Linked DNA regions of Mus musculus. Each later gene encodes a partner of the first gene's protein in a complex. Links are inferred from orthologs where the notes say so. Each region holds a gene or a part of one and is shown in the gene's direction. Other genes may lie near its edges. The genes, in order: Gas8, Fbxl13, Drc1, Iqcg, Tcte1, Iqcd and Efcab2.

What was found.
Region 2: Gas8 (region 1) and Fbxl13 share a complex: the UniProt entries of both Homo sapiens proteins name them as parts of the nexin-dynein regulatory complex. The link is inferred for Mus musculus from reciprocal best matches to the Homo sapiens genes DRC4 and FBXL13.
Region 3: Gas8 (region 1) and Drc1 share a complex: the UniProt entries of both Homo sapiens proteins name them as parts of the nexin-dynein regulatory complex. The link is inferred for Mus musculus from reciprocal best matches to the Homo sapiens genes DRC4 and DRC1.
Region 4: Gas8 (region 1) and Iqcg share a complex: the UniProt entries of both Homo sapiens proteins name them as parts of the nexin-dynein regulatory complex. The link is inferred for Mus musculus from reciprocal best matches to the Homo sapiens genes DRC4 and DRC9.
Region 5: Gas8 (region 1) and Tcte1 share a complex: the UniProt entries of both Homo sapiens proteins name them as parts of the nexin-dynein regulatory complex. The link is inferred for Mus musculus from reciprocal best matches to the Homo sapiens genes DRC4 and DRC5.
Region 6: Gas8 (region 1) and Iqcd share a complex: the UniProt entries of both Homo sapiens proteins name them as parts of the nexin-dynein regulatory complex. The link is inferred for Mus musculus from reciprocal best matches to the Homo sapiens genes DRC4 and DRC10.
Region 7: Gas8 (region 1) and Efcab2 share a complex: the UniProt entries of both Homo sapiens proteins name them as parts of the nexin-dynein regulatory complex. The link is inferred for Mus musculus from reciprocal best matches to the Homo sapiens genes DRC4 and DRC8.

What each region holds. Positions count from the first base shown.
Region 1 is NC_000074.6:123,517,334-123,521,703, forward strand, and holds the start of Gas8 (dynein regulatory complex subunit 4), read left to right. Parts: upstream 1-1,501; 5' UTR 1,502-1,616; coding exon 1,617-1,619; intron 1,620-3,270; coding exon 3,271-3,357; intron 3,358-4,370. UniProt on the Homo sapiens protein: Component of the nexin-dynein regulatory complex (N-DRC), a key regulator of ciliary/flagellar motility which maintains the alignment and integrity of the distal axoneme and regulates microtubule sliding in motile axonemes.
Region 2 is NC_000071.6:21,642,800-21,647,274, reverse strand, and holds the start of Fbxl13 (dynein regulatory complex subunit 6), read left to right. Parts: upstream 1-1,669; 5' UTR 1,670-1,738; coding exon 1,739-1,813; intron 1,814-4,475. Other genes in the region: Armc10 (armadillo repeat-containing protein 10), read right to left, coding at 1,040-1,172. UniProt on the Homo sapiens protein: Substrate-recognition component of the SCF (SKP1-CUL1-F-box protein)-type E3 ubiquitin ligase complex.
Region 3 is NC_000071.6:30,280,104-30,284,330, forward strand, and holds the start of Drc1 (dynein regulatory complex protein 1), read left to right. Parts: upstream 1-1,289; 5' UTR 1,290-1,348; coding exon 1,349-1,503; intron 1,504-4,227. UniProt on the Homo sapiens protein: Component of the nexin-dynein regulatory complex (N-DRC) a key regulator of ciliary/flagellar motility which maintains the alignment and integrity of the distal axoneme and regulates microtubule sliding in motile axonemes.
Region 4 is NC_000082.6:33,053,366-33,057,749, reverse strand, and holds the start of Iqcg (dynein regulatory complex protein 9), read left to right. Parts: upstream 1-1,563; 5' UTR 1,564-1,599; intron 1,600-1,707; exon of another isoform or gene 1,708-1,793; intron 1,794-4,055; 5' UTR 4,056-4,118; coding exon 4,119-4,126; exon of another isoform or gene 4,127-4,205; intron 4,206-4,384. Other genes in the region: Rpl35a (60S ribosomal protein L35a), read right to left, coding at 208-360, 572-582. UniProt on the Homo sapiens protein: Component of the nexin-dynein regulatory complex (N-DRC), a key regulator of ciliary/flagellar motility which maintains the alignment and integrity of the distal axoneme and regulates microtubule sliding in motile axonemes.
Region 5 is NC_000083.6:45,529,906-45,533,596, forward strand, and holds part of Tcte1 (dynein regulatory complex subunit 5), read left to right. Parts: intron 1-3,095; 5' UTR 3,096-3,194; coding exon 3,195-3,465; intron 3,466-3,691. UniProt on the Homo sapiens protein: Component of the nexin-dynein regulatory complex (N-DRC) a key regulator of ciliary/flagellar motility which maintains the alignment and integrity of the distal axoneme and regulates microtubule sliding in motile axonemes.
Region 6 is NC_000071.6:120,587,716-120,591,934, forward strand, and holds the start of Iqcd (dynein regulatory complex protein 10), read left to right. Parts: upstream 1-1,307; 5' UTR 1,308-1,379; intron 1,380-4,219. UniProt on the Homo sapiens protein: Component of the nexin-dynein regulatory complex (N-DRC), a key regulator of ciliary/flagellar motility which maintains the alignment and integrity of the distal axoneme and regulates microtubule sliding in motile axonemes.
Region 7 is NC_000067.6:178,479,015-178,482,203, forward strand, and holds part of Efcab2 (dynein regulatory complex protein 8), read left to right. Parts: intron 1-2,298; coding exon 2,299-2,414; 3' UTR 2,415-3,189. UniProt on the Homo sapiens protein: Component of the nexin-dynein regulatory complex (N-DRC), a key regulator of ciliary/flagellar motility which maintains the alignment and integrity of the distal axoneme and regulates microtubule sliding in motile axonemes.

The sequences.
Region 1 (4,370 bases):
GATGGTCTGGCTTTGAGGTCAGCCTTGGCTACATGGACTCCGCCTCAACAAACAAGCCAAAACTGCTGGAACCATTTCTTCCAGAACCGTACCATCAGGATCTTTTAGCTGCAGTGCTGTTGGAGCCTGTGACTGCACTGGCTAGTAGAGTGTGGGAGATGTGAGACAGTGCAACTCCCAAGGCTAGGTCTTTAGGAAAGAAATCCAGCTTTCTTGGAAGGCTCCCGTAAAAAACAGGCTACCCGGAGTCCACCTGTGTATGTTCCGGCTGACAATCTGAGCTCTCGGCTGACAGCATTCGACAGCTGACCTAACTGTGCTCAGGTGCTTCTAGGTGCTGCTTTTGAGTTTCCCAGGCGAGTGGGGCTCGCCTTAAAGTTCACTGACAGCAAACAGCGTGGCGGCTATGTTGGACTTTTGTTAAGATTTACTACAAATAAGCCACTGTTAGAATGCTCACAAGGATCCGGTGTTGTTCTTCCAGCGGGCCATTCTTCAAGAATCTGGGAGAGGGGACACTGGGAGGTTGGGTTAGCAAACAGGGGAGTCTCATTGCTAGGAGCCTCAGATCCCCACCACTGAGCAATCTTTCTCTCCTGCTGCATCCACTTATGGGTGTGGAATCTTCATCCTCAGAGCAGGCAGAGGAGCATAACCTGCTGTCCCTTCTGTTTCTGTTTTACCCTGTCCTGCTAAGCCACTTTGTTGTTGTTTTGCTTTTGTTTTGTTTCTCTTTCTTTTTATGTATGTGCATACACTGCAGCTGTACAGATGGTTGTGAGCCTTTATGTGGTTGTTATGCAGGGTGCAGCCCTGCTCCAAGCAACTCCAATCAACTCGCTTATTTATTATTATAAATAAATACACTGTAGCTGACTTCAGACGCATCAGAAGAGGGCGTCAGGTCTCATTATGGGTGGTTCTACCTTCAGAAGAGCAGTCAGTGCTCTTACCCGCTGAGCCATCTCTCCAGCATTTTTTTCTTTTTTTTTTTTTTTTTTTTTTTTTTTTTTTTGAGACAGGGTTTTTGGTATGTAGCCCAGGCTAGCTTCCAACGCATGCAGTCTTCCTCTCAGCTTCCCCAGTGGTCGCAGGCATAACACCCTTAGCGTTTTTCTTTCTGGAAGCCCAGCTTTACACGTTCAGTCTCATCAGAGCAGCATGTGGAAGGAATTTTCACAAGCAGGGCAAGGTGGATGGGCCGCAGGAGCGGGCTCTTAGCTCAATATTTGCATCCAATTTGGGAACTTGGCTTGGGAGGCAGATTAATCATTCAGACTTTTCTCTTTATCCGTTCCTCCTTGTGAGCGCCCGCCATGTAGACTCTGGAGAACCCGAGGAACCACAATAGGTTTCTTCTGTAGCCCAAGTTGTAGTGGGAGAGAGACCAGCAATACACCGAGGGCAACACTAGCTCTTCTGGCGCGTTGTTAGGGACGCACTCCCGGTTGCCCAGGTCCCTTAGGGCGGGGGTGGGTGGGAGGGGAGAACTGGAGGATAGTCTCGCGAGGATTTGAGAACCAGCACGGGATCTAGTCGGAGTTGCCAGGAGACCGCGCAGCCTCCTCTGACCAGCGCCCATCCCGGATTAGTGGAAGTGCTGGACTGCTGGCACCATGGTGAGTCGGCCTGTGCTCGGAGTGTCCAGTGCACAGAGAACCTGGGAGGCTTTCGTGCAGAAATGTGGAGAGGGTCGGGTCCCCGGGACTGGGAGGGCCTGCAATTTTGGATTACTAGAATGGAGAGCTGGGCGCAGTTCTTCCGTGTGGTCCCGGTTGGGGAGGCCAGGAGGCCGGGGCCTGCATTCAGGTTCTCTGGGATGATCATCACACTGGCTAGACTGAGAGTCCAGTGTGCAAGGCGTCCAGAAATCAGAAGCTGAGTCCGTCAGATCCTTGGGACCAGTACTTAAGGGCTCAGGGGTCAATTAAGTGTCCACAGGGCGCAGAATCCGGCACAGGAGAAACCCCGAGAACTCGGAGGTGGAAAACCTAGCGTGTACCATGTGGCCGGAGGCCTCCCTACCAAGGGCAGAGTGTCATGGAGTGACCAGGGATACACACCTTGGGTATCTCAGGCTCCTGAGAAGAAGAAGGCCGAAGCCCCCTGTCTCCTTTATTTTTCTCACATAATGCCCCGCCCCACCCAGGAGATAGATGCTGTCAGTAGTGCAGTGTCTTGGCAGATGTGCTAGGGCATGGGTCATTAGCTGGTGGGGTGGCATCTTCCTGCGTCTGCCTGCCTGGAACTATGGCCGATATTAACTGCTGCTTAATCTTCCCGCCAAGCATTTATGGCCTTGTCAAGGCTGCTAGAATAAAGCAGGCCCTGTGAGCAGTGTCTGCTGGGAACATCTGCAGACAGACACAGTGTGTGCGGTGTGCTCAAGACCAGAGTTCCCTGAAGTGGGTTCATAATGGCAGACACGAGTCAGGAAGCCTCAGATTCGGTCATTGCTGTGAGGTCTCTCCAAAAGGCTTATTCTCGGTCCTTGCTGATGAGGGTCTTCTGTGTCTCTGTGGTGGCTATGAAGCGTGGTTGCCAGTATACTTGTGGGGTGGGGCGGGTGTGTGTGTGTGTGTATCCCTCCTTTTTAAAGCCCAGATAAGTTTTTCTTTTTATCTTTTAGGTTTCCACACTACCTCCTCAAATGCTGCCTTTCCCAAAACACCCCTTCTCCACCCCCCCATAAGTTTTTCTTTTTTTTTTTTTAATGTAAGATTTGTTTTATATATGTGAGTACACTGCTGCTGTCCTCCAACACACCAGAAGAGGGCATCAGACCCCATTACAGATGGTTGTGAGCCACCATGTGGTTGCTGGGAATTGAACTCAGGACCTCTGGAAGAGCAGTCAGTGCTCTTAACCTCTGAGCCATCTCTCCAAAAGAATGTTTTTAACCGTAACAAAGAAATTCTTGTCCTACATCCAGGAGTGAATGGGTTTGAAGTGTTTTCTTTCTCCTTCCCTTCCCCCTTAGTGCTTCTCCAAATGAGATCTCTCTCCCTCCCCACCTCTGGTATATTAATGGGGGGGAGGGATCAGTATAATGATACCCCCTAGGTAAATGTTCCAGTCAGCACTGTGTGAACAGTCAAGGTCAAGATTCTAAACAGGCATTCCTTCCCCTTATGCCTGTGTGAACCGAGTCAGTCAAAGAGGGACACCCTGAGGTAGAGCTGACCATGTGAGCAGTCAGTCCATCAAGGAGGGACACCCTGAGATAGAGTTGTCCTGTACTTAACTCAGTCCTCTCTTCTTCACACAAAGGCACCCAAAAAGAAAGGGAAGAAGGGGAAAGCCAAAGGGACCGCGATTGTTGATGGCGTCGCACCAGAGGACATGACCAAGGAGCAGGTGAGCACAGCCCTTGGAGCCTGGCTCAAGGGTGGGGTAGGCACCGCTGCAGATGTGCTGGCGAAACTCTTATCTGTGTGTCTGTCTACTCTCAGTCTGTCCAAACGTAACGTGTCTATCCCGTGCCCGTAGTTTCCTCACTTCACCTGGCATGACATACTTTTAAATGCAGTGTATCCATGTGAGGACACTTTGTAATAGGAACCTGGAAGGCGTCCCCCCACCCCTCGAATATGATAGGTATTTTTAAACTTTGTGCATTTTATTTCATCCTTATCTTTTCATATACCCAGTGGTCACAGAGCTGATTTGTAAGTGTTAAGACAGATATGTCATTCTTTGTTTGCCAGTAAACATTATATCAAAGGGGAAGATTTTAGCCAAGTGTGGTGGCGCCTGCCTTGGGAGGCAGAGGCAGGTAGATTAATCTCAGTAATTTCAAGGCCAGTCTAATCTACATAGTGAGTTCTGAGTCAGCCAAAGCTATATAGAAAGGCACCGTTTCAAAAAACCAAAAAAAGAAGGAGAAAAAAGGAAAGTTTTAAAAGGAACACAATTTACTTAAAACTACATTGTCTTCGTCTGATTAATTACTCACGTTTTTTTTGTTTTTTGTTTTTTTGTTTTTGTTTTTTGGTTTTTCCGAGCAGGGTTTTTCTGTGTAGCCCTGGCTGTCCTGGAACTCACTCTGTAGACCAGGCTGGCCTCAAACTCAGAAATCTGCCTGCCTCTGCCTCCCAGTGCTGGGATTAAAGGCGTGCGTCACCACCGCCCGGCACACCCCCAGTTTTTAAAATTAGTGTTCTGTCTTTCATTTATACATCTGGACAACATGTGTGGGTTGGTTCTTTCCTCCACTGTGTAGGAGTTGGGATTGAACTCAGGTTTTCCGGCTTGGCAGCAGACCCCTTTACCTGCTGAACCATTGTGCTGGCCCCTGGCTGTTTTATTTTTGACAAAACTTCCAATAAGGGGTAGCCCTATTGGGGCTGCCTCTGTTTGACTGCTCATGC
Region 2 (4,475 bases), on another chromosome or scaffold:
ACCAACAACAACAACAACAAAAACCCACCAAAGTATTCTTGTATAGAAATATTTGACAGAGAGAAAAAACAAACAAAACCACAAAAAACCCACACACAAACAAGCACCCTACAAATCAGGCTTTGTAAGGGCAAATGCTCATTTTCAAAAACTGCTTTCCTCTGTGACCAAAGGGGAAGGTTCTGTGCACTCCCCTTTCTTACAGCATTTCCTGGAGGAAATGGAAGGCTGGAATATAAATCCATGGTTGTTCCTGGTCCCTTCTAGTAAGTGCAAATTTTGAAAAGTAAATGCTAGTTGTACAACCCAAAGATGTGTTTTCTACCTGCCTTTAAAGGTGCCTTATTTTTGTTCTAGGGAAGGGCAATTAGCTCCCACCAACCTCAGTTTAAAAACAAATATATTTCTCTACCTTTGAGGCAAGCAGGTATTGGTTGGCAGGTTTTATTTCAAATAGTTTTTCCAACAGTTTTCACGACTTAAGCCATCCTTTTAGAAGGGTGTGTCTCCTGTTGGTTGTGGTTCTTATTCCCAACACACACACCCCGGTTGCAGGGACGCTACGGATGACTTAAAGGTACTTCCCAGGACAGGTGCCACAAAGTGCTGGCAGAATTGCATCTCAGGGATCCATTCTTCACATAGCACGAGCAAAGTTTCAACCCAGGCTTGAGGCCCCTGAGAACCTTCTCACAGTAAGGGGCATCTCTTTGATAACAACACAAAAGCTCAGGTAAAACTTTAAAATGAGAGGCAATCTACTTGGCTCGGAGAAACCTCAGCTCTTGGCTGTGAAGCCGAAGGGAAGTAACAGGACACTTCGGGCAATGTTTTCAGCTCTTATTTTAAACAAAGAAGTGGGAGCAGGGAAGCGGCTCAGGACCCACCCAAGGCAACCTGGGCTTCCAGAGTCGTCTGTCTACCTCCAGCCTTTCTCCCCATGCAGTCGCGGGTGTCTAGGGCACCTCCAACCCAGCCTGGCCTGAGGTGGGTCCGGAGCCCCGAACCAGTCCACCTGCCGGGCAGCCCATCGCCTCACCTGCGGATCGCGAAGGGCGCAGTCGGCGACCGCCTCGCCGCGGTCCCCGAGTCAGCCGGTAGATACAGTAGCAGGCGCCGGCGCCCAGGACCAGCCCTGCTGCCACCCAGCCCACGTCCCGCGCGCCACCCATGCTGCTGCCTCGGAGCTGCAGGGAGCCGAGGAGCCAGGGCCACACGCAGGTGCAGCTGGGCCAGAACCAGCCCAGAGAAAGGAAATGGGGTTGGAGCTCCGCCTTCCGGAAGCCGCCCTGCTAAAATCGGAAGCCCTCCCACCCTGTGTGCTGCGGTTCCTTTCACCAGGCAGGCGGGATGCCCCTAGTGCAAGCAGCTTTTTCCTGGACCAAGACCGGGACTGCGGCGCGTTGAACACAGACCCTAGCTCCGCCCCAACACTCACTCTCCCGTCCAGCCCTCTCATTTTACCCGGCCCCGGCCTGTACTGTCCTGCCCCGCCCCTCCCCGCTCTGCCCCGCCTCTCTGCACTCGCCCCGCCCCTCTCTGCCCCGCCCCTCTGCAATCGCCCCGCCCCGCCCCAGTTGCCCCGCCCCCTCCCTGCTAGGTTCTTTCTTCATCTCGCGAAAGGCTTGGACTATTTGGCACCTCCTTTGTGGTTGCTAGGCAACGCTCCGGCGCGTCTCTCCTCCTCAACGTGAACAGCAGTAACCTATGAAACGCATTCTGAGTCCTGCTTCTGACCATGGCTTCACTACGCAGTGCCACCCCCAGGCTAAGGAGCTACTTCAGGGACAAGTACATTCCTCAAATCTGTGAGGTACTGCAGCCACATAGCCTCTCACACAGTGGGCGCGGGGAAAAACTGGGAGAGGCAAGGAGATTCCCGGAACTGGAGCTAAGAAGGAGCAGGATGGGGAAGCTTGAAGTCAATTTAGGGTAACTAGAGAGAGAAGGGTAGGTTAGAGAAGACCGAAGGGTGCCGGTGGCTAAAACCAAGCCCAGGTGGGGATGACAAAGGAAGGGGACGGGGGAAAGTGACAATCTGCAGGGGGCGCAAAGAGCACAGGGCCTGGGTTGGAATCTCCAAGTGTCAACTACTAAATTCTATTATGGAAGAGCGTCTTGAGCAAGAAGTGAGTGGTGAGCCACTTGAAGACAAAAGACTTGAGGGGTTCTGGGTGTAGGCTTCGCCCCGCCTCGTTGTTAGCAGGAGGGAAGAAGAGTCACCTGCCTCTACACACAGCTTCACAACACACCTTTTTAGAGATCGCCACCAAGCAAAACCTGAGGTCTTGGTTTCAACAAAGAAATGAATTTCGGGGCCAACTTGTATGAAGCAAAGCTGGCTTCATTAAACGCAGGAACAAAGGTGCTCCAGTAGAGAGAGTAGAACACACCTGGTCAGACAATTGCGGGCTTCTGAAGGGAGAGTCGACCTTAAGTGTTGTCTTCACAATGCTGACATCAGTATTTTTTCTTGTGACTTTCAAGGTTACATTTCTAAATGTTGCCAAGAAACTACTACCCCTTTTCTTTTTCTTTCTTAATTTCTTTATTCACTTACTTCCCGATTGCAGCCCACCCCTCTCCTCCCCTCCCAGTCCCTTACAAGCCCCTCCCCCACTACCCCCTTCCCCCTATCAGAGGAGAAGGGAAAACCCTCCTTGGGTACCACCCCAGAGTCCCAGAAGGATAAACATTCCCCTTTTATTAACATCACCCAAAGAGTATAGTCTGTAACAAAGTTAGATTAAAAACCGAAGTTTCTTTTTCTCTCAGTAACTAACATATAGTGCATTTATGAACAGCTTCATTTAGTTCTGGGAGTGGGGAGGCCAGGAATTCAAGATAATGTGTCATTTTGACCTTATGTAAGCAGAGCCTAATTACTGGCCTCGACATCCTTGGTTGAAGTGTCTGGAGATACAGCACCCAGCCTCAAGTGAGCACAGTTGAAGTCCATTAGGTTCTTACCCGCAGACTTAAAGTCCTTTCTGAGCAGTGAAAGTAGATCAGTTCTGAAGGAGCAGGGTTTCCTCCTCTACCTCCGCCTCCAGTCCCCTCCAGTCCCCTCCAGTCCCCTCATTCTGCCCTGCCTCGGGAGGACAGTATGGTATTGAAAACCAGGTTTTGTACTCCTGGGGGCAGGGAGCTGAGAAATCACTGGTGACTCCCATTTATCTGTATGTTATGTTACGCGGTGTATGTTATGTGGTGATACAGCGGGAGTTCTGAAATGGGGCGAATGAGGGAGTTCTAAGGGAGAGAGAAGAGTGCCATTCAACCTCCAGGGCAATTGGGCACAACACTTCCTTTTAGGATGGCTTTTCCCCGTGATTTTATCCAGATGATCCCTTCAGTCACCTCTGCTCACACATTAACAGCAGGGGCAAGACAGGTTTTGGGCACACTCATTCACTTTCCCTCAGACCATTAAGGTGACTTCTATTCTGCCAGGTCTCTCTGTACTTTGTACTTGTTGCAGTTATCTATGCATGTTTGACCTCTTCTGAACATTGCCTGTGTGTTCTAAGTAAACCTAGTTGTCCATCCACAACACTGTTTCCCTACAAACCTGTGTACACTCTGATAAAGGAAAAACCCAAACCAAAGCCTACCCATGCCAGTGGTTTGTAATGGTTTGTAAACTCTTACTTGCCAGGGAGACTGAGGCTGAAGCTTGCTTGAGCCCAGGCATAGGGATGGTAAGACTCAAAAATAAAAAACACAACCAAAAAATAAGCAAAATAAAACCTCAACACCAAACCAAACCAAACCAAAACCACAACACTTGCCTGATCTACTAAGCTTATTGAATCTGCTGATTGATATTTAATTTTCATTGGTTTTGGAACCAATTACTTAAATCTATTGTTATTTTTACCCAATTCTTTTCTATTATAGGAATCCAATCATGAATATAATAAAATTCTACCCTTGTCCTCTGTTTTAGCTTTTGTCCAGCTACCTCTTTTTTGTCTTCTGGATGATATTTTGGATATTTTTCATTGACTTATTTAGTGGATTGCTAACTTTACTAATTCTGCTTTTTGTTACATCTCATCCCATCTGTTGAATACAATAAGTGAAATCTTAATTGTAGATAATGTATTTTTCAGTCTTGGAATGCCCATTGATTCCTTTTAATGCATTCCACTTATTAAAATTATAAAGATACTTTTTCATCTATTTTGCTATAATCTCCTGTTTTCAAACATGTTAATGATTGTTTTGTAAAAATCACTCTCTGGAAAGCTGGTCACACATGTCTATAATCCCAGTTCTTGGGGAGCTAGGACAAGAGGCTTGCTTTGAGGCCAGGCTGGGCCACATGTTGAGTTCAAGACACTTGGTAAGCCTGAATAAAACAAAAACAAGAAGAAACACAGGTTCCTTCAACATCTGGATAATTTTTGGGTCTGTTGTCTGTTGTTTCTTTTCTTCCAGTAATTACCTCTACACACTGAGTGATTTTTTTT
Region 3 (4,227 bases), on another chromosome or scaffold:
AGCAAACTCATTCTTGCATTGCAACTTCCCTAAGCCATAAAACCCCTTCATCATCAAGGAATGTCTAGCATGTCTGAGTCCCTAAGTTCAGTCTCCAATGCTACAAAAATAAAACTGTCGAGTGGTTTGCATTAGGGATAGTGTCTTGAAATGTAGCCCTGCTTGGCCTAGAACTTTACAGTCTTCCTATCTCAGCCTCCCAGAGGGCTGATTGTGAACCACTATGTCTGCATGTCTGTGTGTATTATTATTATAAGGGTGGGTATTATTATTATTATTATTTTGGTATAGGGCTTTACATTTCTTATTTTAATTTAGTTTAGAAATGGAGTCTCATTGTGTTCCAGGATGACCTGGAACACAATCCTGAGTTCTGGGATTACAGGAGTGGTGTTTTTGTTTTGTTTTGTGTGTCCTGTCCAAGGTGCTCCAACGAACCAACTGGTGTAGGTAAACCCTTTACCATTGAGCCGTACCACAAGCCCACAGGCATAGTTTTAATTCTTAAAGAGAACATTAAAAAACAACAACAAAAAAAAAACCACTTTTTACACCTATGATTTTGTGTGCCCATATGCCACTGTGGCATGTGAAGGTCAAAGGACAATTTATCAGTACTGGTACTTTTTCCATAGTGTGGGCCTAAAGGATTGAACTCAGTTGGTCACTCTCCTTGGCCATAAACATTGACTGCTGAGCCTTCTCTCTGGCCCCAGGACATTATTTTGTTGACAAGGGGACACACGGTGCCTAAGGCATGATGTCCCCCCCCCCGCCCCCGCAGACTGCTGCTTTGAGAGAGCGGTGGTGTCCTGGGTTCTTCCCCGCCCCCCCCCCCCCAACCATTCTCCTGAACCCACCTCTTTTTCGGTCATGGCTACAGATGATGAGTGTACTTGAGTTCACACTTCCAAAACTGCAATGGGCTGAGGTGGTCTCCCACTCAGCTTAAGGAAAGGACGCCACTGTCTCTAGCTATATAATACAATGCTTTTCATGTTGCAGGTACTCAGTTATTTTGGAGCAAAGTGCCTTTTAGGAATATTCATTTGGTAAGGTGGATGATGAATTGGGCTTTTGAGTCAGAAAGAGATGCGGTGCGGTTTGTTCCATCTGCCTTCGTGGGGTCAAGTCAGCCCCTCCAAACCAACTTCAGGCAAGGGGAATCAAGTCCACATTTGGGATACAAATATACAACTCGTAGTGCCTGACAGAGAAGCTGGGCTGGAGCGCCGCGCGACAGCTAGCCAGAGATGGGTCAGGTGACTGCTTTCCCTTGGCAACGGCTTGTTCCTAGCAACCCGGCTGCTGGTCCAGGCGGAGCTGCCAGTGGGTGGGAGACGCCGCCATGAATCCCTCAGGAACCATTGGGGTCCTAGAGCAGAATGGGGAAGAACACTTAGCCACCCCGATTCTCGGACCCTCGGTGCATTCGGATAACCCGCAGGAGCGGATCCAGGCCCGGCGCCTGCGCATCGCTGCTCGTCAGGAAGCCCGAAGGCGGTGAGCTGGGTGGCCGGGTGGTGCGATGGGGAGCCCAGAGTGCCCTGCAGGGAGCTGGGGCCGGGCTGGGTGGGAGCTCCATGGTAAGGTGTGTGTGTGTGTGTGTGTGTGTGTGTGTGTGTGTGTGTGCGCGCGCGCGCCCTGGGTGTAAACAGAAAAACTTTTCTTCTAGAACATTCAAGCAGTGAGTTTTGGGACAGCTAGGGCTACATAATGAGACCCTGTCCCAATATTTGAAAATAAAAATAAAAAAGTTCTAGGTCAGATTTATTCCAGAGGCTAGAGTTTGTTGACGAGATGTAATGGACCGCGATCTGTGAAAGAGTCGGTTATCCCCATTCTACTGAGAATACCTTATCACAGCCAGTGAGCATATGTGATTGTGTGTTCCACACAGATATGAGCATCTTGATCCATTTTAAAATTAAAAAATAAAATAAAATAAAGCCAGGTTAGTGGCTTATGCCTTTAATCTCAGTACTGGAGTGGCAGAGGCAGGCAAATCTCTTTGAGATCAAGGCTAGCCTAGTCTACGTAGGAAGGCCTTGACACCTCAAAATAAAAATAAAATAAGAGTAAAAGCTTTCATTTCACTTAGTGGCCACACTCCCTGGGCCCAAGGCCATGTCGACGGATCTACTGTAGCAAAGGCGGGGTGGCTGCTTGCTTGTGCTTGCGGACATTGATGATCATTGTCTAGAATCCATCCAGGTACTGCAAGTGCCAGACCTGTGAATTAAGAGGGGATGTGATAGGAGCCACCACACTTGCATTCCCACCATGTTCCCTAGGCTTTGGTGTCTTTATTAGCTTAGGTAAAGTTTAAGGGACATCCACTAGTCACCAGACTTCATGTGACAGTTGTTCAACTTCTAAGTCGTTCATTCCACTTTTACTTTTGGTGGTCTACAGACCCAGCAGAAGTACAAGATGGAGGTCTGTGTGCCTCCATCCTAGTTGGGCAAGGCTGTGATCATGGTTAGCATCTCTTGTTGTCATGGTAACTCAGATCTGTTTTTAATTGTCCTAACACTGTCTGGGTATCCCCTTCCCTGACAGTTCCCTGATGACCTTCAATCCCCTTGGGGAAAGGCTAGGAGCCTCACTACATTATGTATTTGCATTGTGTTCTCTGTTCTTCCTCCTGGGATCCCTGCCACCTCTTTGGTTAGGAGGTTCTGGGATGAGAACTGGGGTTGGTTCAGGAACTGGGCAAGGCAGAAGCATCCTTAGTAAGCTTGTCTGTTGCTGCTGTTTGGCTAACAGATGAACTGGACTCTTATCTGCTCTTCTACTTGTCTCCAAGTGATGCCACATTTATCCATCTCCAAAGCTGTCCGAGGATCATGGTCTTGGTTGTTGCTGTGGTGTTTAACAAGGAGACTGGGGGGCTGGAGAGATGGCTCAGTGGTTAAGAACTCTGACTGCTCTTCTGAAGGCCCTGAGTTCAAATCACAGCAACCACATGGTGGCTCACAACCATCCGTAATGAGATCTGATGTGCTCTTTTGGTGTGTCTGAAGACAGCTATAGTGTGCTTACATATAATAATAAATAAACCTTAAAAACAAAACAAAAACAAAAACAAAAAAGCAGGCCAGGTGGTGGTGGCGCACGCCTTTAATCCTAGCACTTGGAAGCAGAGGCAGGCAGATTTCTGAGTTCGAGGCCAGCCTGGTGTACAGAGTGGGTTCCAGGACAGCCAGGGCTATACAGAGAAACCCTGTCTCGAAAAACCAAAACAAACAAACAAAAACAAAAAAGCAAAGCAAACAAACAAACAAGCAAAAAAAAAAAAACCCAAAGAGACTGGGAATTCAGTGATGTGCAGGAAGTTTATATTCTAATGAGAGAGAGAGGACAAGTGTCCCTATAACTATGATCTATGACAAGGACAGCAAGGGGAGAGGAGACTCCTGGGAGTAGGCCCTAAAGCCAGGCAGCTAGAAAGGATAGCTTGGAGCTTGAGAAAAAGCTAGCTTTGTAAGGAGGCACTGCTGGGTTACTTTAAGACATTGTCAGGCGTGGTGGCACACACCTTTATTCCCAGCACTTGGGAGGTAGAGGCAGGAGGATCTCTGAGTTCAAGGCCAGCTTAGTCTACAAAGAGAGTTCCAGGATGTCCAGGGCTACAAAGAGAAATTCTGTCTTGTAGGGGTTGGGGTGGGGAGATATTTGTTGGGTGTGATAATAGCATGTGATAATGTCTAAACAAAATTAAGGCCACTTTCCTGATGGGCAGAGCGTCACTTTCACCTTCAAATTATTCAGCTCACTGTTTTGGGGACTGGTGTAAAGGGGCTGGAGGTGTGACTGAGGAGACCCGAGCAGGAAGGAGACACTACTCTGGTTCTGGTGAGGCACGGGATTGGCCTGGACTCTGTGTCAATAATCTAGAGAGAAGCAGATGGACGCAGGACAAATTTTGAAGTTGAATGTGATGGATGCTTCTGATTGGCTGTTTGAACAGAAGACAGTGTGACCTCTATATGTGTGCCATGGTTTGAGTACACACACACACATACACACACACACACACACACACACACACACACACACAAGACAAATGAATAGATAAATATTATTTTTTAAAAAAGATAGGTGTGATGGCATATTCCTATCACCCTAGCTCTTGGGAGGCAGAGGAAGGCAGGCATCTCTGATTTTGAGGCCAGCTGGCCAAAATAGGGAGTTCCAGGCCAGCCAGGGCAGCATAATGAAACC
Region 4 (4,384 bases), on another chromosome or scaffold:
ACAGGGAACTTCTACACTTGTACTACGAACCAATGGTGCCTATATAGTCCATACCACCGACAAAAAGATCCCTCTCTAATTTCCTCTAAGCTCTTCACGTGTCTAGGAAGACTCAACCACACCAATTTCTCACTAACACCCCTACCTTTTCAGTAGAAAAAACGAGATTAGTCAACCAAAAATTAAAAGGCATGGGAGCATACTTACTTTTTTGCCTTATACACATAAGCACATCTCTTGCCTAAGTAGAACTCCGTTTCATCTCGGGCATAAACGCCTTCAATTTTAAGAAGAGCCGTGTGCTCTCTTTGGTTCCGGAGACCTCGCTTGTAGCCAGCAAAAATGGCCTTGCACCACAGCCTAAGACAACGTTAAGAAAGACATGATGACTACCCCGTTACAACTTTTCATGTATCTTTTAGCAAGCCACCATGATTTGCTTTGTAGCAATTCCTACTCCAGCTATCTACAGCAGACCTCTCGTTCCCCTCCCGCATTACACTGAACTTTAGCTTCGCGTTTAATAGAACGAAACAGAAATGGAGAAAACGACTATTGTGAGATCGCGTACCTTCCAGACATACTTGCTGTTAGAAGTCCTGTTCCCAGCAGGCCTGAAAAACAAAACCGAGAGCTCAACCGAGAGTCATGCAGCACGCATCCCACCTGTCACTATTTCCCGGCGCGAGAGATGGCTTCAGTCGGCGTCCCAAGGATGGGGACCTCTTACCTACGCCCTGCCCCCTATAGAGGCAGAGCCTGGCAAAATACTCAGGGCTCCGACAACCAATGACAACGAACGACTCGGAATCGTGGGCAAAGGCCGGGTGGGAAGGCGACTCACCCGAGACTTAACTTCTCAAACCCCAAAAGGAACCCGGAGGCGAGCTCATGCCTCCATCAGTACAGAAAGCAGCTAACACAGGCGAGATCCGGCTCTGTGCGGGGAACCCAGCTCCCAGGGACCACCGCTCCCCGGGCCAGTAAGACCGGGGGAAATGCACCCATTCTCTCCTCCCGAGCCGGAGATCGACCGAGACCAGCGAGCTCTCCTCCCCCGGCCGGGGCCTCCACACCATCAGCCCGTCATCGCCTCCATCCCGCCCTCCATCCTCCTGGAATCCCCAGAAACCTCTGGCGGTCGGGTTCTCCGAGACGCCAGGTTGTCTCGGTGAGGGATGAAACTAAACGCACCCCAGCAATCGGGCCCCAAAGCTCAGCAGCAGGAACCCCCCTCACCTCCACAGGCGCCAAGATGGCGGAAAGAGGAAGGCAAGCCCCGCCGCGCGGCCTTGTGGGACGCACGCCCCGCCCCTCTCCGCGCTTAGGCCGCTCACACTGCGCCAGAAAGCAAAGGTCAGAGACAGAGAGAGAGGCTCGACTCAGCCAAGCCGCGCTCAAGAACTTTAAATTCTTTCCCTCCTGCCCTTTCGTCTTTGTAAGCGGCAACACGTATTATTTAGGAACAAGGAAAGGCAAAATCGTAGTCGACTAAGAAAGAATCAGGGGTCCTACTTAAAAAAAAAAAAGAGCTTGCGCGACGCGTTGCCATAGCTACCGATTAGTTTGGTTCCCGCCTCCAGCTGGGCTGGTAGAGAGGTAAGGAAAAGTTAAGTGTTTTCTCCTCTTCCTAGAATGGAGACTGGGATCCTACCATATAGGAGAGAAAAACCTGGAGCATGAAGGCAGGAGTTTCTCTTGATTTGTTCTTTTATTTTTTCCCATCTTTAATTTAACAAACAGGGTGTGGTAGCCGTTGCCCGTTAACCTCAGCATTTATTCCGGAGACTGAGGTAGGAGGATCACATCACAAATTCGAGGCTAGGCTAAGTTACATAGCAAGGCCCCATCTTAACAGCAACAAACATCCATGAGGCAAACCGCGGTCCCGGTGCTTGCTTGTAACCCCAGTATTCTAGCTGTGCGAGCAGGTGAATAGGACTTAAAAGACCATCCTCTGCTACATAGGGAGTGCCAGTCAGCCTGAGCTACATGAGACCCCATCTGAAAAAAAGGGAGACGATGTGAGGAAGTGAGAGATAGAAGATATCCTTCCATCCTTTCCCTGACTTGTCGGATGCAGATAAATTTTTTAAAATTCATTTATTTATTATATGTAAGTACACTATATCTGTCTTCAGACACTCCAGAAGAGGGAGCTAGATCTCGTTATGGCTCCATGTGGTTGCTGGGATTTGAACTCTGAACCTTCGGAAGAGCAGTCAGGTGCTCTTACCCACTGAGCCATCTCACCAGCCCACAGATAAATTTAATAGACTCAGATTTACAGTTCCTAACTTGTGCATTAATTAAGGCGAACTGATGGATCCATTCATTTAATCAGAGAGTAATTTATTGAATGACTACCACTACCAAGAATGCTGTAGGCTTGTAGGGCACCAGAGTAAACAGACTAAAACGTCTGCCCTCTTGCAGCCTACATGAGGGAGCAAGGATGGCATGTTGGCTCTGGTGTCTGTAATCCTTGCACTTAGAAGGTTGAAGTATGAAGATTGCTCTGTTTTAGGTCAGTAAGAGGTACATTATGTGTACACAGATATCCTGAGCTACAGAGTAAGAAATCTCATCCTTGCTCCCTCACTCCTCGCAAAAAAAAAAAAAAAAAAAAAACAAGACAACAAGCAGATTAGACATGTGGTATGTTAAAAGGTCAAGACTTCCTTTCTTTTCCTTTTTTTTTTTTTTTTTTTTTTTTTTTTTTTTTTTTTTTTTTGGTTTTTCAAGACAGGGTTTCTCTGTATAACCCTGGCTGTCCTGGAACTCACTCTGTAGACCAGGCTGGCCTCAAATTCAGAAATCCGCCTGCCTCTCCCTCCCGAGTGCTGGGATTAAATGCGTGAGCCACCACCGCCCAGCAAGACTTCCTTTTTAAAAACCTGTTTATGTGTGTGCTTTCAGAGGTCGGAAGATGGCCTCAGACTCTAGAGCTAGATTTTACATGCAACTTGTTATTGTTATTGTTGTTGTTTTGTTTTGAGACAGGGACTAGAGAAATGTCTCAATGTTTAAGGGCATACACTGTTTTTAAAGAGGTCTTCAGTTCAGTTCCCAGCATCTACATCAGGGACTCACAATTACCTATAACTTCAGCGCTAGGAAATCTGCTGTATGCACACAGTGCACATAGAGACAAGCAGGCACATACACATTTTTTTTTAAAGCCATTAACAAGAAGGACAAAGTCTCATGTAGCTTAGGCTGGCCCCAAACTCCCTGTATTGAGCCAAGGATGGCCTCTTCTGACACACCAGAAGAGGGTGTCAGATCTCATTACAAATGGTTGTGAGCTACCATATGATTGCTGGAATTTGAACTCAGGACCCTCTGGAAGAGCACTGATTGCTTTTAACCGCTTAGCCATCTTGTCAGCCCAAACTCGATTTCTCTAAGTCAAGTTACAGTAAATTCTGTTCTCTGATAGAGCAGGGCAGAAATATTTAATTTAATATATAAGTGAGAATAATAGAAGAAATTAAAGAATCAAAAATAAATCTGAAGCTGGGCGTTGGTGGCACATGCCTTTAATCGCAGCACTTGGGAGGCAGAGGCAGGCAGGTTTCTGAGTTCAAGGCCAGCCTGGTCTACAAAGTGAGTTCCAGGACAGCCAGGGCTATACAGAGAAACCCTGTCTTGAAAGAAAAAAAAAAAAAAAAGTTCTCTGTTGATTCACAGTCAAACTCAGAGTACAAGTACACACATTAAAATTGTGTTAGATGTCAATTTACCGTAAAAAGAGGCAAAAGACTACCTTGAGTATAACTTCTGGTTTGATGAACCAGTAATGGAGCCAGCCACTTAGTAAGCCTACATCTACCCTGTCTGGAAAACAACAACAACAAAAACAAGCCTGCATCTTATGAGCCTGCTTCCCTAAGCAGGAGGAGACAAGCTATAGATAGCTCTTGGGATTCTGTGGGGTTTTTGTTTGTTTGTTTGTTTTGTTTTGTTTTCTCTCCTACAAAAAGAGCCTGAGAGTAAAGGGAAAAAAATTAGCATTCCCTGGAACTGATATCAATGTTTCTTTTCTACTTTAGGTTCCTTCATTCTTGTGAAATTATAAATCTAGCCCAGAGGGCAAGGAAAGAAACTGAGGAAGAATGGACGAGTATGTTTCAAGTTCCGGTTTGTTTGTCCCTGTACTGTTGCAATTACGCCATTTGTTGAATTCGGTGGATTACTTTTCGGTAACAATGTAACCAACTAATGTAACGCCCTAAAGTATAAACACCTTCCCATTTCAGCGCTGCTGTGGGGTGGGCGCTTGAGGGCGTTTAGCAAGTGACTCTGGTGTGGGATCTGGGCCAGTTAAGCTTTCCCTGTCTGTGGGACAAAATGTCACACAGGAAGCAGTTTGGGGCAGACA
Region 5 (3,691 bases), on another chromosome or scaffold:
GTGCAGCAGATCTTCAAGTTGCCAATGACCCCTTGCCCTTTACCTCTCCTGTAGAGACAGGGACAAGGCTTAGAAACCAACCTAGCATTCACTTGAAGACATCTCTCAGCTCTCTAGACAGGAATCTCCACAGATGCCACATAGGAAGACATTATTATCCCGTTTTACAGATAAGGGAAGGGAGGAAGTTGAAGTTCGGATAGGTTATTCAATTTGCCTAAAATCACCAGCAAGCCAGAAATACAAAACCAGCTGATGCCTCTATCTAAATGATACCCTCCTGAACTCACCATATAGACCAGACTGGCCTCAAACTCACAGAGATCTACCTGCCTCTGCCTTCCAAGTGCCGGGATTAAAAGCATTATGTAAAGATGGACAGGGTCTGTGAATTTGCATTTGATTTGCATACAGTGGTGACACAATACATAAATATCTTGCCGACAGTAGCCCTCTCCCAAGGCTTTTCCTCCTTGAGCTGCCTGGCAGGCTAGAGTACCATCTGGTTCCTCCCTCTGCCAAGGATGTCGTTGCTGGAGCCGGGCGCTCCTTCTCACTGGTCACACCACAGTATAGCACAAAGGGAAGCTACCCAGCCACGGGCAGAGGGCCCAGGCACCGCTGTTCCGCCTTCAGGTCACTGGCAGGGTGCCTGCAACAGGAGGGCAAAGAGGTTCCCCCAGACCCAGACAGCATCCTCAGTCTTCAGCCCCATATTTAGCTGCCTTCTCACCTCCCACGCCTGCTCGCCACCTTCTGGTATGATGGGAGACTTCGAAGTGGGAGCCAGGTGGGAACTGAAGGGAGGAGAGGCATTCGCACTCTGGTCAGGAGGCTGTGTCTGGTCCCTCCCAACTGCGCACGCCCTGAATGGAGGCCACAGGTGCAGGTTTGACAGGGACGGACCTATTCTTCCCACTCAAAGCCTTTACGCAGAGGTTTGAAGAGGACCCATGTCGGCTCACATTTCACTCCAACTCCAGGGGGCTGGATCTGGCTCCAAGGACCGGCACAGGTGCTCACACCCTCGTATGCAGGGTGTAAGTATGTACAGATGTATATTTAAATGACAACTCAAAATATAGAGATAAACTATACGGATCATACATTTGAGCGACAGTACCCTGAGTACAGTGCATTAATTGTGTCAACTCCTTTGGTTTTTATTGTTTTCTGTTTTAATTTTAATCTGTATGCAGATTACACATTTCAACAATAATGTTTGGGCACACTGGATTGAGTATACAACTAATTTCATCTGTTTTAGGGTTTTTGGTTTTTTGTTTTGTTTTGTTTTGTTTTTTGAGCCGGGGTTTCTCTGTGTAGTCCTGGCTGTCCTGGAACTCACTCTGTAGACCAGGCTGGCCTCGAACCTGTTTCAGGATTTTGTTGTTCTGTTCATTTTGGTTTTCCTGTAGGGTTTTTTGTTTGATATTTCCTTTTGTTTTGTTTTTAACTGAGCTAGGCAAAGAGCCCTGCCAATGAGCCATACTCCCACTCTACTTAAGCCTCTTTTTCCCCCCTTATTTATTTATTTATATTTATTTTCCTGGCACTGGTGGTGCACACCTTTGATCCCAGAGCTCAGGAGGCAGAGCCAGGAGGATCTCTGAGTTCGAGGCCAGCCTGGTCTATGGAGTGAATGACAGGATAGCCAGAGTTATACATAAAATGATTTTCCCCCATTTTTGTTTCTTTGGTTGGTTAGTTGGTTTTGTTTTTGGCAGTAAAAATAGTATTTTGTTCCTCCCCTCCCCCCCATCTCCTGCTTATTTGTTTTTTAAGATTTATTTATTTTATTTATATGAGTACACTGCAGCTGTCAGACACACCAGAAGAGGGCATCAGATCCCGTTACAGATGGTTGTGGGCCACCAGGTGGTTGCTGGGATTTGAACTCAGGACCTCTGGGAGAACAGTAAGCGCTCTTAACCGCTGAGCCATTCTCTCCAGTCCTCTCATTTTTGTTTTGTTTTTACAAGTCGGGTTTCTCTGTGTAGCCCTGCTTGTTGTCGATGCCCCGTGCTCATGAAGTACCCTTGGAGGCCAGAAAAGCTGACAGGAGCATGAAACCCCGGATTCACTGGCTGAGATGAAACAAAATTGTAACTCCCGTGCTCAGGAGATACAAACAGGAGACTCAGCACTTGAAGGTCATAGCAACTTGGAGGCCAGCCTGGGATACCTGAGAACTTGTCTCAAAATTGATAAGGAGAGAAATTAAGATAGTGTGTAAGCCTGTACCCCACTCTGTTGGCCAGTGATCTCAGTCGTGCCGTCAGGATGCCCTGGGAGCTGGGAGCTTCTGAGTTGAACAGTTGTTCATGATAGCACTCTCCCTTGGCATTTGATACCCCCACACTCACCCTTAGAGGGGGCAGTCCAGAATCTGACTTGAGAAATTGAGTTTAAATGCACTGCTATGGATGGCTGGAGAGATGGCTCAGAGGTTTTGAGCACTTAATATTCTGTTCTTGCTGAAGGACTGAGTTCAGTTCCCAGCACCCATATCAGGCTGCTCACAACTACCCTCTTCTAGCCTCTGTGTGTGCGCATGCACACTTGCACACGCGCATGTGCACACGCACACTCATGTACGCATGCAAACACACAATCTTTAAAACATAAGTTCCCTCTCATTCGGTGTCAGCTGTGCATCACCGAGCAAGCCAGCAACCGCTCTGTACTTCATTTCCTTTCAAAAAAAAAATGAAAATGAACTCTTGTCTCCAAAAGGCTTTTTTCCCCCTTAATGACAGATGAGTTACTATCCAAAACGAATACCTGGTATGTAGCAATGATTATAATTACTGAACAGCTATTGTCTAAACTTTGGGGCTCTCCTTGCACACACCCTGTGTCCCTTTGAATACGTTGTTTTATCAACTCCTCTAATAATCCTGTTGGTAGCTACTGCCCTCACTTCAGAGGCAGCATCTGAGATGCAGAGATGTGCCTTGCCCAAAGCCACACAGCCAGTCTCTGAGAGTGTCATCTAGGTCTACTCTCCCCCCAGAGACTGATCCTTCAGCACCACTCTGTGCCACCTAAATCCCCCCCCCCCAAGTAACGCTGTCCCCTTCCTCTTGCTCAAGCTACGACCCCGCCCCCATCCTGTATCCTGCCTGCTGTAAGAAGCTTCCTACTGCAAGGCTGCCAGGATTCCGACCCCTGCCTCCCCGCTGGCCGGCAACATGCAGGAAACCCCATCAGTACCGTCCAACTCTTCGTCTCACAGCCAGTCGGTTCTCACCATCCAGCGCCAGGTCTCTGCCTTGGGCAGCTCCAGCACAGGACCCACGTCCTTGAAGACCAGCAGCACCCCTACCCCAGGCCAGCTGAAGACCAAGGTCCCAAATGTCCGTCGCATGCGCAGGATCATCTCCGAGGATGCAGAGTGGTCACTGGCCATCGTACCTCTCCTTACAGAACTCTGCATTCAACATATCGTCAAGAACTTCCAGAGTAAGTCGTCCATGTGATGTGGGCCAGAGGAGAAGGGGACCACCGTACCCAGGCCTGGAAGCCTTCTCTAATCTACTCCCACTCAGGATCAGTAGTGTTTCCTGCCGTACACACGCGCACACGCTCTCGCGCACACACACACACATACGCGAGCACCCACACACATATGTACATGCATGCACGTGCACGAATACACATACACTCAAGCACTCACCCGCACGTACAC
Region 6 (4,219 bases), on another chromosome or scaffold:
GCCCTCAGTTGGTTAGCGCCCACTTGATACATGAGGCAGCTTAGCGTGGCCTCTCCCAAGTAAAGAGCCACAAGTAGTCATGGAACGCAGGGGACACTGCCCACTTCAGCGCAGCCCCACCAACTATTCCTAGAAACTGCACTCCACTTAGGCGAAATCCACCAACCGCTTTCTTGTTTTTTGTCTTTGGTGGTAGGGATATCCCTATGGAGCTTTGAAGCTTTGAAGTTGCCATTCTCCTGCCTTTGCCTCCTGAAGAGCCTATGACTTTTCAAAGAGAAAGAAACGGGGCCCAGAGAGGGTAAGTAAACTGTCCAAGGTCACACAGCAGACTCGGAGCTCCTAAGGTCCAGCCCTTTGGCAGACCTTGGTTCTCTCTCTAGCGGAGACCCAGCGAGTCACCCCTGGGGTAAGGTCACCCCTGGAAGAAGGTCCCGGAATCAGATAGCTAGCTGCCATCCTGCGATCTGTCCCCTGAGGCAGACTGACCCAGGCAGGAGTCCCCGGCCAGGTCACAAGAGGACACAGCAGGGAGGTGAGCAGGGAGGAAGGGTCGCTCGGGGGCTCTAGCTCCCCACGATCCCCATCGCGATCCGGGTCGCCCCAGGAAGTCAGGCCAAAGAAAAGGGGTGCAGAGAGAAGGGGATCCGCAAGGAGAGAGCATGCCGGCCACCTCCCAGGGCCCCGCCTCGGGCTTCTGGAGCACTCAGCCCCAGCCCCTTCTCTGCACCTTCTGACCCCTGACCCTTGCCCTCGGGCCAAGATCGCGCACCCCTCGGATCCTTACACGCGCCGTCCCGGGATCCCGCACTGTGCACTGGGTCTGCACAGCGTAGCTCAGCCCGCAGTTGCCGCCGCCAATATCCCCAGCGCGGAGCCTCAGCAGCCGCCACCGCCGCCTCACCGCTGCCACAGCGGCAGCTGCGCCAGCCTTCGCATCCGCCGACTCCTGTCACTCAGCCCCGAAAGCCCCGCCCACGGCCCTAGGCCACAGCCTACTGGCCATCAGAGGGGTCGCAATGAAATTTGACAGGGTAGACTACACGTCACTCAGCGTTCTCACAGCCCTCCTCCCAAAGGGAGGGCGGGGCGAGGAAGCAACACCCCTTTCCTCCCCACCCCACCCCCACCCCCGCCTCACTCGCGCAACCAACAGGAATCCTGCGTCTTTCCATTGGCGAAACGTCAGAGAGGCGGGGATTTTGATTGGCCATCTTTCAGGAGGCGGAGCCAACGCAACCCGATTCGAAGTTAAATGGTGAAAAAGAATGTCAGTCAAACTCAAAGTCCCGCCTTCTAAGAGTGGCTCGTAACCTAGCAACATAAGGGCCGCCGAGTTGCTTAACTGTGGGCCAAGAAACTTGCATCTTGAGGAGCTGGTGAGTGACAGCGGGGAAGCCCCAGGCTGCAGGCTGTGTGCACCTAGTAGGCACGCCGTCCAGTGATTTCTCCCCTCCAGGCGTCCGCGCCCCACTTGCCATCCCGTCCAGCTCCAGGTCCTCACTCCCTTGCCCAACCTCCATCCTGTCCTCCTCTAGGCCTCCTGCAAGCACCATCAAGTATCCTCTTCTGATAGTCTTGCTTCCTGTCTGGTCCACCTGCCATTTCATAGTCCCTCTCCTCATCTCTTACTGATACCATTTGTGAAGTTCACATCGAGTGAACTTAGTTCAAGTAATTGGATGGGTTGGTTTGTTTTGGTGCCCACTGTCCGCACTATGTTCAGAGGTCAGCTTGCTGGGTGCGTGACCCCCTTCAGTGTATGCTTAAAATAAGGATTTGTTGTTTGTTTTGATTTTGGAACAAGGTCTCACTATGTAGTCTCGAACTCACTCTGTAGACCAGGCTAGCCTCAGACTCACAGAGATCCACCAGTCTTTGCCTTTGAGTACTGGGATTAAAAGCATGTGCCACCACCCTTGGTCTAATTAGGTTTTTTCCCCTTTAATTGTTAAAGTTTTATTATCATTATTAATATTATTATCACTATGTCTGCGTTGGTGGGGTATGTGAATGTGAATACAGACAAAGGGTTTTGGATCCTCTGGAGCTAAAATTAATTACGGGTGGGCAGTTGTGAGCCACCTGTCATAGGTGCAGGGGACTAAACTCTAGTCCTTTCAAAAAGCCGTACACGCTCTTTTAAAATAACGTAAAGCTTTATTTATTTTTACTTTATATGTATCTGTGGGTGCCTACGTGTATGTGAGTGCACAAGGTATGTTCACAACGTGTGTGTGCTGTGACTGCCAGGCTAATTGCAGTGATCCCCGCCACGACTTATTCTACCCTAACTCCCTCTGTCTAAGCATTTCCTAGGACATTCTCTTGGCTCATACAACGAATAATTCACATATTTAACATGGGCTTATTGAGTGCTTAGTGTGTGTCTTAGTTAGGTTTTGACTGCTCGCTTTACACCTTGACCAAGGCAACTCTTGTAAGGACAACATTTATTTGGGGCTGGCTCACAGGTTCAGAGGTTCAGTCCATTATCATCAAGGTGGGAGCATGGCAGCATCCAGGCAGGCATGGTGCAGGACGAACTGAGAATTCTACATCTTCATCTGAAGGCTGCTAGCGGAAGACTGACTTCCAGGCAGCTAGGATGAAGGTCTTTTGTTTGTTTGTTCTTGTTTTTCGAGACAGGGTTTCTCTGTATAACCCTGGCTGTCCTGGAACTCGCTTTATAGGCCAGGCTGGCCTCGAACTCAGAAATCCGCCAGCCTCTGCCTCCAGAGTGCTAGGATCAAAGGTGTGCGCCACCACGCCCAGTTTAGGATGAAGGTCTTAAAGCCCACACCCACAGTGACGCACCTACAACAAGGCCACACCCACTCCAACAGGGCCACACCCACTCCAGCAAGGCCACACCTACTCCAACAGGGCGTTCTAAAAGTGCCACTCCCTGGGCCGGGCATATATAAACCATAACAGTATGGTTAGTGACGGCAGTCTGAGTTGCATGAAATCCTGTCTGAAATGGGAGGGCTGGAATGATAGCTTAGACATTTAGACATTACACTGTTTTTGTAGAGGGCCCTCAGTTCCTAGCATTCATGAGTCACAACTGCCTGTAACTCGACTTCAGGTGATCCAGCGCCCTCTACTGGCCCAAAAGACACCTGCACTCATGAACATCATGCATGCACGCATGCATGCACGCGCACGCACACACACTTTTTCTTTGAGGTCCTAGTGAGAGTTCTTGGAATTAAAAGTGATTAAAAATCAAGAACACTTGAAACAGAACATCAGGGTAAAGTATCTCTGAACTTCAGCTTTTATTATAGCAACGGGCTAGATCCTGTAGCCAATGAAAATATTTTAACCTGAATGCTCTCAAATGCAGGAAACTTTTTCCTTTTAATGGACAAAGAAATGCATCTCCTCTTCTACTCTCAGTGCAGGCTTAATTATTGAAAGAATAACGCGGGTTCACACTGCACCAAACACCAGGCAAATACGAAGTCTGTGCTTCCTCTATTAATTATGTTGATATCTTATACTCTGGTAACTAATATTTTTTAAAGATGAAGGGTTTATTTTCTTATTCTGTGTGTCACACCTGGCTCTTACATGAGTATGAAGGAGCTTCAGATTCAAGCATTTTACTGACAGAGCCATTTCTCTAGCCTGCATTTTAAGTTCTGTTTTATTTACTTCCTGTGTGTACGTGTGTGCATGTGTATGTGTTGTGGATATGTATTCATGTGTGTATGTGTGTGTGCACGATATGTATGTATGCATATGCATGTGGATGTGTGTATAAGGATGTGCATGTATTGTGTATTGTGTGCATGTGGATGCATGTGCATGTGTGTGTATGTGTGCATGCATGCTTGTTCACTTATGCATGCATGTGTGTGTGTGCATGTGTATATGCATGTATATGTGTATTCATGTGATTATATGTGTATGTATGCCTGGCAGTGGTGGCGCATGCCTTTAATCCCAGCACTTGGAAGGCAGAGGCAGGCAGATTTCTGAGTTCGAGGCCAGCCTGGTCTACAGAGTGAGTTCCAGGACAGCCAGAGCTACACAGAGAAACCTGTCTTGAAAAACCAAAAAAAAAAAAAAAAGTGTATATGTGTGTGTGTGCATGTGTGTATGCATGTATATGTGTATCCATGTGATTATATGTGTGTATGTGATTATATGTGTGTATGTATGTGTATACATGTGTGTAGGTACATGCCTTAATGCTATAATGGAACTC
Region 7 (3,189 bases), on another chromosome or scaffold:
TCCATGTTGTATGTGCCAGTACATTTGTTAGGTGCATGTAAGATGCACCATCATATCTTAATGTATCATCATTATTGTATATAGCATGGTCTTCTTCTAATTGTGCTTACCGTTGCTTAATTCAGGAAAATGGTTGATTGCTTAAGAAGTGATTTGTTTTGTTTTGTTTTGTTTTGTTTTGAGACAGGGTTTCTCTGTGTATCACTCTTTGTCTTGGAAGTCATTTTGTAGACCAGGCTGGCCTCGAACTCAGAGATCCACTTGCCTCTGCCTTCTGAATGTTGGGATTAAAGGTGTGTGCCACCAGGCCTGCCTGGCTAAGAAGTGACGTTTTTATTCTCAAAATTCTAAAAACTTTTTTAAGTACATACAAGTTTTGGGACTATAAAGTTACTTCTACAATCCTTTCATAGTATCTGCAGAGCAGTTAACACATCTTTAAGTTTGAGAATGCTCATTTTAAATGCCCAGGAGATTGTAAGGTAAACACCATAAAACATACTGAATCAAGTGCCTACAAGACAGAATCCATGTTAGTCCAGGATGTATATTGCATCAGAACGTATTTAGTAGCAGGGAAGATCTCAAGTCTTTTAAAAACAAATACATGTTGGGATGTGTCAGATGTTTGTGGAAGTGGTATTTGAATAACACATTTAATCCTTAAACCAAGCCCATGGGTGGAGAGTGTTACTATTGTCTGTACTGTGTAGACTGATAGAAAGGTTAAGCAACCTGCTCACCCTAAGCTAAGTCTAGCCTTAAGCTCACTATCTTCTTCACCCTGGGTGTTGGGACTGAAGTGGCACCCATTGTCAGCATCCCTTTGACACTTACATCCAGGTACATGTAGCAGTGGATTTAGTGTCTGTCATTTGTAGGGCAGCAGGGGTGGGGGAATAAAGGGAGCGGGAGAGAGCTAGTTCCAGTGCTCTGGGTGGGCAGACTCAGAGGACTGGGTGTCTGGTTGTGGGAAGCCACAGACCCCAGCCCGTGGGGAGTGGACAAGGGGCAGACCGAGGTCTCTGGGCTTCACAGAGGCCAGAGATAACAGGTTCTCAGTCTCGGGCATCCCAGACACCGCTGGACACTGTGGAAGAGCAGAGAACAAAGTGGAGGTCCCTGGGGTAGCTCAGTCACCCCCAGGGCTGAAGAGAGGAAAGGGCAGGGAGAGACGGGGCATTGGGTGGTTCCCATGCAGGCAAGCGTCTCTGGGAATGTGGCTCACTGTTCTGTCCCTTGTAGAGTTTTCTACTGGGTCTCCAGAGCAAGCCTTTCTCAACCAAAACAGGCGCCTTTCACGGCCCCACAGCCAGTCAGATAACAGCCAGAGTTTGCCACTTCAGCATTTCAGAGCATGAGTTTGAAGTTTGACTCTTGGACATGCCAGAACTCTGTCTCAGAACACAACAAGAAGAAAAAAACAAAATTTAAAGACAAAAGCCACACAGAGTCCCTATCTGCATAAGTTCTGTAATTGGTAGCTGAATCCTAACATAGGAAGTCCTGGAGACAGTGGGAAGTAACCTAGGCTCATAAGGAAAGCAACTCTCCTCAAGCCTTGGTGCTGTGTCTAGTGAGCACAAGACTTTCCCCAGACATCTGGTGATGGCCAGGATGCCCTGTCTTTTCCCTCAACACTGAGCATAGTTGTGTCTTAAACAGTCTGTAGCCTTTTCAATGTTCTCCTGAAGTTTGGGTCCTACCTTGTGAAGCCAGTTTCCAAGGTATCTTTCAGATGTTACCTGAGTCCAACTAAAGCCCAGATTTTCTCCCCAACTTCTGATTTCATTGCATCAACACAAGCCCAGATTGAAAGAAGGAGGACTTTCAGGATGCTTGACGAGTTTTGTCCATGGCAGGGTTAAGACAACGAGAGTGAGGCAGTCCTGATAGAGTAGTCAAGTGTCTGGTCTCTCTTCAGCAATAGCTAACTTTTAATTATTTCCCCATAGTTTTAATAAAGATAATAGTTATGCTCACTTATACAACTTTAGCTTCCAGCAAATACTTTTGCAATTTCAATCATTTTAGTTTAAGTGAATTAAACAACTATATTCATGGTGTTCTCCTGCTGCCTTGACTAAAGAGATGTATTCTGTAGGTCTCAGCAGGGCAACAAGTCTACAGCCTTGCAGATGTGTGGCAGCATGCATTTTGAACTCCTGGGTTCTCAAGTGTTGCTGTACAGCTCCAGTGAAGAAAAAACTGGACATAGTTGCAAGGCAGTATAGAGGACTAGTGGGGAGAGCAAAACCTCTGACTGTAAAATCATGCTATCCTTTCTTGTCTCTCCAGGTGAGCCTTTTTCCCAAGAGGAAATGGAAGAAATGTTGTCTGCTGCAATTGATCCCGAATCAAACACCATTAATTATAGGGACTACATAACAATGATGGTGGTAGATGAAAATTAAATGCTGCAAAGACTTCTTTTTTCTCCTTTTAAGACAACTGTAAACATTCAATTTCTAGTTGAAATGATAATTTGAAAATTTGTCCTAATTAATTTCACATTTTATTGTATAATTTCTACATTTAGTGCCTTATGACATAATTGTTTCAAGGTATTTTGTTTACTAGAGATGATCAGTTTAAAACATAAATTTATTTAGTATGACCAGATTTATGGAAGGACAAGTTAATTATTTCAAAGGAATTGTACAGTATTTTAATGTTAAATGTATCGTTGCTTATTTTCCACAACTAGGCCAATGATACATTGAAACTAATTAGAAAGTGAGATTGATCCTAACCCCCTAACATTTGCCATAGAAAGCTCTTGCAGGGCAGGATGGCCACAGACTAGATGTGAGTGGCAGCTTGGTGATGGCTGCCTTTCAGAGCAGCAGTAAACACTTCAGCAAGCAGAATATGGAGGGAGAGCGACCAGAATAACTATTAATAATTGATTTCTTATGAATGCCAATTACAAATCTCATTTGAGAGTCTAATAACTTTGAGTAAAATTGAAAATTGCTCATCCAGCATTTTGCCATTTATGGAATAGCTAAAGGAGGTGAGATAATTGGATCCAGAGAAAGGAAGACTGAATGAAAGCTGATAATGGCAACTTCTTTTTTTGCTCTTTAGAATTCTCACCTATTCAGAATATCTGTCATGGGAATATTGTCCTGGATACTGCGTGTATTCATCTGTTGTTACCAGAATGTAGTATCTGATAAGGGCTGA